2 linked regions of the Oryctolagus cuniculus genome follow. The protein of the gene in region 1 purifies or fractionates together with the protein of each later gene. This does not show direct contact. Links are inferred from orthologs where the notes say so. Each region holds a gene or a part of one and is shown in the gene's direction. Other genes may lie near its edges.

Evidence for each region.
Region 2: the proteins of GOLPH3 (region 1) and FAM20B purify together in Homo sapiens (affinity purification with mass spectrometry; 3 studies listed by BioGRID and IntAct, with this or other methods). This does not show direct contact. The link is inferred for Oryctolagus cuniculus from reciprocal best matches to the Homo sapiens genes GOLPH3 and FAM20B.

The regions. Positions count from the first base shown.
Region 1 is NC_091445.1:58,310,931-58,315,490, reverse strand, and holds the start of GOLPH3 (Golgi phosphoprotein 3), read left to right. Parts: upstream 1-1,662; 5' UTR 1,663-1,954; coding exon 1,955-2,179; intron 2,180-4,560. UniProt on the Homo sapiens protein: Phosphatidylinositol-4-phosphate-binding protein that links Golgi membranes to the cytoskeleton and may participate in the tensile force required for vesicle budding from the Golgi.
Region 2 is NC_091438.1:7,216,446-7,221,008, forward strand, and holds the start of FAM20B (glycosaminoglycan xylosylkinase), read left to right. Parts: upstream 1-1,713; 5' UTR 1,714-1,902; intron 1,903-4,563. UniProt on the Homo sapiens protein: Responsible for the 2-O-phosphorylation of xylose in the glycosaminoglycan-protein linkage region of proteoglycans thereby regulating the amount of mature GAG chains.

The DNA.
Region 1 (4,560 bases):
GCAGGAACCCAAGTACCTGGGCCATCATCTGCTGTCTCCCAGGTGCATTAGCAAGAAGCTGGATGAGAAAGCAGACAAGCCAGGACTGAAACCAAGCACTCCCATTGGGCATTCGGCATCCTAAGCAGCTGCTTAACCTGCTGTGCCACAACACCTGCCCAACAAATATTTATTGTCTCAGTTTCTGCAGGACAGGAATTTGAGAATGGCCCCACTGGGTGGGACTGGCTCAGCATCTCTCACCAGGTTTCAAGGAAGACATGAGGAAGGACTGGAAGATCTGCTTGAGATGGGTCACTCACAGGGCTGACCATTGCCTAAGGGGGCTTGGATGTCTGTAAGATCTGGCTTTGGGTTTCTCCCAGAGTGAATGGGAGAGGGCAGGAAGGCGAGAAAGTTGCTGCGAAGACTCCTGTGACCCGCTCTGAGAAGTGACACCCAGCCAGCCCGCGCTGCCCACGTTCTATCTGTCCTAAGAAACTCACATGCAAGGGAAGGCGAATCACAGGACCTGTTGGCATATTTGAAAATCTGGCCGTGGGGAACCAGACAGTGCTGGGAGGGACAGCTTCACTATACACATCTTCATGTCCTTTGTCTTGGCGTAGGTATTGGACTCTATTAATCCAGTAGTGATTACATTTCTTTTACAAAGAAACAAATTTGAAGCTATCTGGTAAAGAACTGGAAGAGGATGTGAGTGGGAGAACCTGGTTGAGAAGTTGACCTTTGGGCGGCCAGCAAAGAGGGGAGGACTTGGCACTGACCTTGTGCCCCGGGCCTGCATCGCGTTCTGGGGCTACTGCAGGTCGGGATGCCGGGTTCATGGAGGGGGAAGACCCTAACCAAAGCACAGCTCCAGCCTGTGGTCACTGTTGATCCTAATACTGGATGGCGCACAACAACGTGGTACTTTACACACGCCACCCTTCCGCCCCCGCCCTACCTCTCGCAGTGTGACAGCTAACCTTTAACGTAATTTGCACAAAACTGTGCAGCACGCCAAGAGGATTGAAACCTAGTCATTACGCGGGCAGAGACGTGGCACGAAACCCAACAGGTTTATTGTCTCCATAAAAAGACCGTAAAGGTCGCGCGTGCGGCCGTGCGCGCCACTAGCTGTGCGGGGCACTCCGGCCACCGCGCAGCGCAAGTCGGAGTGGGAGAGGAAAGTTTTGCACATTAAACTAGTCCCTGCGTCCCAGCCCGGCTGCCCCCAGAAGGCGCAGCCGCTCCTCCCCAGGCATCAGGGCGTCCGGGCGCGCCCTCTCGCGCCCCAGCGGCGGCGAGCACAGTCCCTCCTGCCAGTCCAGACGGGGTCCCGGCGGCCCGGGCCCTCCGCGGACCGAGGTGCGGCGGGCACAGCTCGAGGCTCGGCGGGGTCCACCCCTGCGCGGCCTCAGCTCTCCAGACTCGCGCGCGCGCACGCTCGCCGACGCGCTGGCTCCATCCCGGATCGTAAGGGACGAAAGTTGGGGCGAACGTGACGCGGACACGTCACCGGCCCGAGGCCTCAGGCCGGGGCCGGAGGGCACGCGGAAAAAAAGGCCGGCACCCGAAGCCGGGGAGCCGGTGGGCGGCGGCGGCAGCCGATCCCATCCGCTGCTTCCGGCGCCTTCCGGGCCCTCGCTGCGCCGACTCTGCCACATCCTCCGGTGACGTCAGCCGGCGACGCCATATTGGAAAGGCGCCGCCGCCGCCGCCGCCGCCGCCTCCGCTTCGGAGCTTGGGCAGTTTTAGGGGCCGCGGCCGCAGGCAGGAAAGCGCCCCTCTTTCTCCTCGCCGAAGCTCAGCCTAATTCCCCATGACCGCCCCCGGCCCCGCAGCCGACGGACGTCGCCCCAGCATCCGGATCTAACACGGAAGCCCGGGTCAGGGGCCGCGGGGGGAGGAGGAGGGCGACCCGGTCGGACCCGCGTCCCTCTTCGGCCCGCGCGGCGCTTCGGCCGGAGCCATGACCTCGCTGACCCAGCGCAGCTCGGGCCTGGTGCAGCGGCGCACCGAGGCCTCCCGCAACGCCGCCGACAAGGAGAGGGCGGCGGGCGGCGGCGGCGGCAGCGGCGAGGACGACGCGCAGAGCCGCCGCGACGAGCAGGACGACGACGACAAGGGCGACTCCAAGGAAACCCGGCTGACCCTGATGGAGGAGGTGCTCTTGCTGGGTCTCAAGGACCGAGAGGTGCGGGCGCGGCTGGCGGGGCGGGGGGCGGCGGCGCGGGCCCGGGGCGCCAGGTGGGCTCCAGGTGGGCGCGCGGTTCCCCCCCGGCCCGCGCACCTGCGCTGCTCCCGCCGGAGCCGCGCGCCCGGGAGCGCACCCCTGGCCCCCGAGGCGCGGTGGAGTTGGTGGCCCCGCTGCGCGCGGCCCAGGGCTTTCCTGGCCCTCGGCGTTCAGAGTGTTGGATTTCTCCTCCCCTCTTCCTCGCGACGCCCTCCTCGCCTCTCCCTGCGCGTTTAACCGGTGTAGACCTCAGGCGCGATTCCAGCCTGGGGACCACCCGGTTGTGAACAGCCGCACCTGGAACCACCAGCACCCCCAACTTCTCGGGTTATTTTGGACCTGGGAGGGAGGGTCCACAGATCCTGTTTGCTGGGGAATTTTGTTTGTTTTAAAGACGTACTATTTGGAATTAACAATTCGGTGAAATGGTAATGAGGAAAAAAAGTTACGAAGTAAAGTCGACAAAGTTCTCAGGAACCCTACAAAATGACTTTTTAGTTCAACTTGGTTTGGGCGACAGCTTATTTTTTTAGTATCGCTCTAAATTTGATCGGTTCTGACGGTTCTCGAGGTTTTGGCCGTCTTAAGAGCTTTTTTTGTGAGGTGCTGGAGAAGTGAGGGCTTTTGACGTAGGACCTCAAAGCTTTAGGTAGGGTGAAGCTGTGAAAAATATTTGTTTTGTGTTCTGCTTTTGAAAAGGATTGTATTTCACCCCAGTATCCAGAATTTTCACATAAAAAGGTGAAAAAAATGCCAGTGGGTGTGTACGTGTGTGCACACTTCTCATCCTATAGTGAACCTTTCGCTCTGTGTATCATGTATCTATCCATCTACAGATGGGTGTTTTGAAAGCCAGACGCAGGCGTGGGAGCTGAGGCAGGGGAATGGGTGTTCTGTAAGTCATGGCTGTAAGGTGGTCCCTGAAGCGCTTTATCCCGGTGTGGGAACCTCAGACAGCTGTCTTGAGTCAGACGCAAAAGTATCTTGAAGTTTTGTTTTGATTTTCAGAAAGCTTTCCAAATTCACCAAGATAGGCAAAAAAGTTTCATTCTTAAAAAAATCGAAGGTTTAGGGAAACTTAGCAGATGTTACTGTTGGTGGACTCCTGATAAAAGTCGAGAACTACAGCTCACCTTGATGGAAACGCCCAGCGTGTCTGCAGTATGTTGTTTTCCTACCGAAAGGGGCCTGGGCCCTGTGTAAGGACTGAGCTGTGCTGACCCGAGCAGGCTGTGTGTGAAACTCTGTTTTGTTCTTGTGATGAAAAAGCGAAGTAGAAGTATCTTAGATTTTAGAAAGTATTCAACTTTTTTTTAAATGCTTTACACTTTGGAATCTTGGTGTTAAGCATTTTTCTTTAGGTCTTTTTGCCTTTGGGACAAAAGTAACACTGTAGACATTTTAGGAAAAAAAAAGGAAAATGAAGAAAACGTATACCTGAGTGGACATTTTGGCTTGTAGTTTTTGAGACTTTTCTGTATGGATAAAACTCGGAAACTAGAACTTCAGAAACAAACACAGTTAACATTTAGTGCTCTGAGTCACAGCAGTGAGAAGTTACGGTGAGAAAGTACCTTTTTGTTTTTTCAAATATGTGTTAGCTCTAAATGTGTATACTGAAACAGGTTAACATGCTGCTTTTCCGTGGCTAGTTTTGATGACGATAACCTGAAGAATTTGTTGAAATGTGATGGTACTTACATAATTTAGACAGTTTGAAGTTCTTTGATGGCAGGTAATTGAAGCCATCTGTGGTGCGTATTTTGCCTCAGGAGGTGCTCGCTATACTTTCCAAGGCCTGGCCAAGGTCCAGATGCTAGCTAATTCTGAGCTGTACTTGCTGACTTCACAGCCACATAGGGAAATCTGCCCCGCCCCCTTTCGTAGGCACCTCCAGGACGTGGAGAGAGAGGGCTGGGATTTTGCTTGCTTTACATTTTGGCTTTGGGGATTAGCCTGTATATTTTTTCTTTTGTCACATTTTAAAGAAAGATTTATTAGAAAGGCAAAGAGATCTTCCATCTGCTGGTTCACTCCCCATATGTCTGCAACATCCAGGGCTGCGCCAGGCCAGACCTAACAGCTAGGACTCAATGCAGGTCTCCCACGTAGGTGGCAGGAACCCAAGTACTTGGACTGTTCTTGCCTCCCAGGTGCATTAGCAGGAAGCTGAATCTGAAGTGGAGGAGCTGGTGCGCCATCCAGGTTTGGGATGTGGGCGTCCCAAGCAGAGGCTTAACCTTCAGCACATAATGCCTACCCCGTTAGGTTTTTATACACTAGTAACTGTCCCTGTCAACTCAGCCTTCGGGTTGTGGGTTGTAATGCCTGGGACGGTCACC
Region 2 (4,563 bases), on another chromosome or scaffold:
TTTATTTACTTGTGAAATAGAAAATGTTTTGCATCTGCTGGTTCACTCCCCAAATGGCAGTAATGGCTGGAGCTAAGCCTATCCAAAGCCAGGAGCCAGGCGCTTCTTCCAGGTCTCCCACGTGGATGCAGGGGCCCAAGGACCCAGGCCATCTTCCACTGCTTTCCCAGACCATAGCAGAGAGCTGGATGGGAAGTGGAACAGCCAGGACTCGAACCAGGGTCCATATGGAATGCTGGCACCGCAGATGGAGACTTAGCCCACTACACCACAGCGCCGGCCCCAAAGCCCTTCAACACAGGGGGATCCTCTGTTCCGGAAGCCGAGGCTGCAGAACGAGCCGGCCTTTTCCCTAGCAATGACACATGGAGCGTCCACCCTCACGGTCGGGTTCCAGGGTAGAAAGGAGTCCTTTGGAAGAAAGCCCCTTAGAGGGGGCGCCCATGGGTGCTTTGCGGTCCATTGCCGCAGAGAAGAAGCCTCAGGGAGATTAGCCGACCGCACCCCACCACCGCCCCTGTGTGCAGATTCTCACACCATCCCAGTCCGGCTCGCTTCCCCAGGAATCCCAGATCCTGTACTCTCACAGCGACCCTCAAACCGGCTCAACGACATCAGTGCAAGTCTGGCAGAGGCCTCCTGCATTCGGTGACTAATGCTTCCTGCGGGGATTAGCTCTGCCTCCTAGCCAGGCTGCTCTGGGTGGGTGTCTAGCCCAAGAATTCCTCCAGGATCTCCTGAAAGTAAGCGCTCACTGAATACACACTCGGATAGCAACCGCTGACACCCAGCCTCCCATCTGGGAGGGCTTTCCCATACCTTTCCGAATTTAACCCTCACCAGTGTATGGAGTCCCACGATGACCTCTGACCTTACTGGGCTGGCCACGTGGCCTGCCACCCTTTGCTGTTGAAATGGACCAGGTGTCCTGGAGACGGTCAGCTGGGTCCTTAAGGTGTCAACCTTTCCCCATCGCTTGTCTTAGCTCCTCGGGCAGCCTGCTGTCCATTTCAGGGGCAGGGCAGCTAAGTCCCAGCTTAGTATAGGGAGAATGAATGCACGGTGCATTTGTTAAACTCTAGCCAGGGTAAAAAGTGAGCAAGCCAAGGGCAGGGAGGCGCTTTCCTCGGTTACCAGGAGCCTGCTGGGTGCTGGGCATCTGAGCTTTCCATTCTCTGAACGTAGCGGCAGGGAGCTGCGCTCTGGTCCGGAGCAGGAGCGCTTTGGCTCCGTACTGGGAACGCTGGCCAGTTTGGGGCAAGGCGGGGATCCACTCTCTCCAAGCAGGAGTCAGGATAACTTAGGGAGGACCTTCCATATCACAACTAGCCCTTGACCTGGATTGCATTGCAAAGCGCCAGTCCTGCTGCCTGGCTGCTTCTCTGTCCAACAAAAGCAGCAAAGAAACAAGCGAAGGCAAGGGAGAAGAAGCCAGAGGCCGGTTTATGGCAACGGGATGGAGCAGCGCAGTAGGCAGGCAGGAGTGGAAATAAGAACCGGCGCCGATAGAGTTAAGCGGGGCCGGCCGGAACCAAAGGGGTTAAGGGGGCCGTCTGGAGCGAGTCCGGTAGGGCCCGCCCACAGTGGGGCGGGGCCCGGGCGGGGCCGCGCCGAGCGAGCCTTTGGATTGGTCCCGGGGAAGGCGTTACGCTAGGACCGTACCAACAGCCGCGGCCTGCGGAGGCGGGGGGGTGGGTGTGGGACGGCCGGCTCTGCGCGGGGAGAGGTGGCCAGGGAATGGCCGGACCGGGGGTGGGCGGGAGCCGCAGTGGCGGCGGCGGCGGCGGCTGGGGGCGGTGAGCGCGGCGTGGGGCTGCCCCTCCCCGGAGGCGGCGGGGGCGGCCGGGGCCGCGCCGCACCGCACCGTGCGGGCGGCCATGGAGCGAGCCTAGGGCCCGACAGGTGAGCGGCATGGGGGGGCGGCGGAGGGCGCGGGACCCCCGGCGCGGCGGGCGGGCGGGCGGGAAAGTGCGGGCGGGCGCGGTGCGTGGCGCGACCCGGGCGGGGCGCCTCCCCGAGGGGCCGGCCGGGCGCCGCTGCCCTGAGCGGTCTCCCGCGAGTGGCCGCTGGCGGGTCCCTTCACGGGGCGGCCGGTGCGGCGCGTGCCTGCCGGGGGTTGCGGCTGACGCGGACGCCGCCTCCCCGGCCCGCCGGAGGTCGTTGTGGGGGAGCCGCTGGGGCGCCGGAGCGCGGTGCCCGGAGGCGTCCGGCCTCGGAGCCGCCCCCTGTGTCCGGCCGGGCGCCGGCTGCGGTGGCTCGAGGAGCGCGCGCTCGCGGGTCCCCCCGCGGGGCCCGCCTCGTGGCCGGGAGGCGCGAGTGACCTGCAGGCCCGAGGCGGGAGCCCGCGGTGGGCGCCGCTTGAGGAAATGCTGGGGTCGTCCGGAGTGGGGCCGCGCCTGGAGCTTCCATTTCCGGGTGTGCGGCCCCGCGATCGCGAGCGAGCGGGCAGGAGCGTGGCCGCGAGTGATTAGTGGGAGCGCCTGTCACGCCGCGTCCTTGATCGCACGGGCTGATAGGAGACGCGCTCTCAGCGGCCGGGCTCCCCGGGTAGCAGGCGAGGGGGCGCCAGGGTCTGGGCATGGCTGTGGGATGTAGTCCAGATCTCCGTGACCGGGGTGGGCCGGGAGTTGATGATTTTGGAAAAGGCGACGCCTGATGCCGCGACTTGGGTCTGGGGCCCCGTGTCAGTGTCACCCCCGCCCAGCCGGCCTGCTCCTGCAGGTTTGATTGCTCACCTTGGAAAGTCGCCGTGTGGGGCGCCTTGTTAGCTTTTCCACTGTAGGACTTTCTATACATCTGGAACCTGGCGAAGTTACGATTGCCGATTATTAACCATGGCCTAAAATCCTTGGGTTGAAAACCATGGGTCCGTTTGACCCCAGGGTGATTTCTTCAAAGTTGGGCTCCAGATCCCAGCGTGCACGTGTATTGGAAACATCGCCGGGCCAGGTGGCAGTCGGGAGCTGGGATCCTGTGCTGGGTCTCCCAGGTGGGTGGCAGGGACCCCACGGGCCAGGTGGCAGTCGGGAGCTGGGATTCTGTGCTGGGTCTCCCAGGTGGGTGGCAGGGTCCCCACGGGCCAGGTGGCAGTCGGGAGCTGGGATCCTGTGCTGGGTCTCCCAGGTGGGTGGCAGGGACCCCACGGGCCAGGTGGCAGTCGGGAGCTGGGATCCTGTGCTGGGTCTCCCAGGTGGGTGGCAGGGACCCCACGGGCCAGGTGGCAGTCGGGAGCTGGGATCCTGTGCTGGGTCTCCCAGGTGGGTGGCAGGGACCCCACGGGCCAGGTGGCAGTCGGGAGCTGGGATCCTGTGCTGGGTCTCCCAGGTGGGTGGCAGGGACCCCACGGGCCAGGTGGCAGTCGGGAGCTGGGATCCTGTGCTGGGTCTCCCAGGTGGGTGGCAGGGACCCCAGCCCTTGAGCTGTCACCTGCTGCCCTCCGAGGTGTGCCTTAGCAGGAAGCTGGATCTGAAGGGGAGGAGCCGAGACTCAAACCAGGTACTGTGATGTAGAATGCCCATATCCTAACACGGCTGAGAAGCTGAGGTGCAGATGTTGAAGTGCTAAATCATATGCCTGCACTCAGAGCCCTCCTAAGATCGATTTAAAGTTAATGTTTTGTATTTCGTCAGTAACTTTTCTAAGTTTCTGAAGATGTGGAAGTGTGACTTCTGGAACCGCCCAGTGAAGTGTGTGGACAGGAGGCCCTTCCACATTGGAAGTTGCTTATCAAAGGAGAGTCCAAGGGCACGGCCAGTAATCAGTCTCACCACAATAAAGTGCGGTGGTAGATACGGGTGATAGTGAGAGATGACCAGGATCTGGTGGGGCTGGCGGCTTTCCATCTCTGTTGCCTGATGAAAATGTCACACACGGATTTGCCAAGAACCCTAGCCACATTTTGTTAAAGGAAGGAGAACACGGGCCCTGCTTTTCTTCCTGGGGACAAACACACCCCTGTTGATGTATTTCCTTTTCCATAATACTTTATATCATAGGATTCTCCATGTGAAGTTGCTAAGTCCTTGCCTTTTAGTCCATTCTTTTGACTTCCATGCGTAGATTCCAGCTCTTTGGCACGGCTCTGAATTTTGAATTCATGAGGGAAATTTTCCTTGTTTCCTTCACTGTCCGGGCAGACTGAAGTTTGACTTACATGGTGTGGCTATCATTTCAGTGGTGTGAACCCTGAAGCCGGATCCTGCGACTCCTGAATTGCGAACTTTTTAAAATAGCTAACCACAGTCGTGGTCACTTGGTGATTGCTACGCTCTTATAATAGAAACAGGAGGCTGCTCTGTGCCATCTGTGGTCCTAGAGGCAAACAAGAAAGGAGATAATCTTCCGAAGCGGATGTCAGGTCCCTGAGCCCAGGTGCCCGGTGGTTTCACGGATGGAGGTGGAGAGTACAGTTACAATGAGGCCCAGTAGTTGTAATCGGTGTACTTTTCTCTCTGCACTTAACAGTGCCTAGTGCATAGTAGGCGTGCAGGAAATATTTGCTGGCGGAATGAAGGAAGGAAAACAGTATGAGGAAAGCAAAAGTATTCTAGTACATGTACCCGT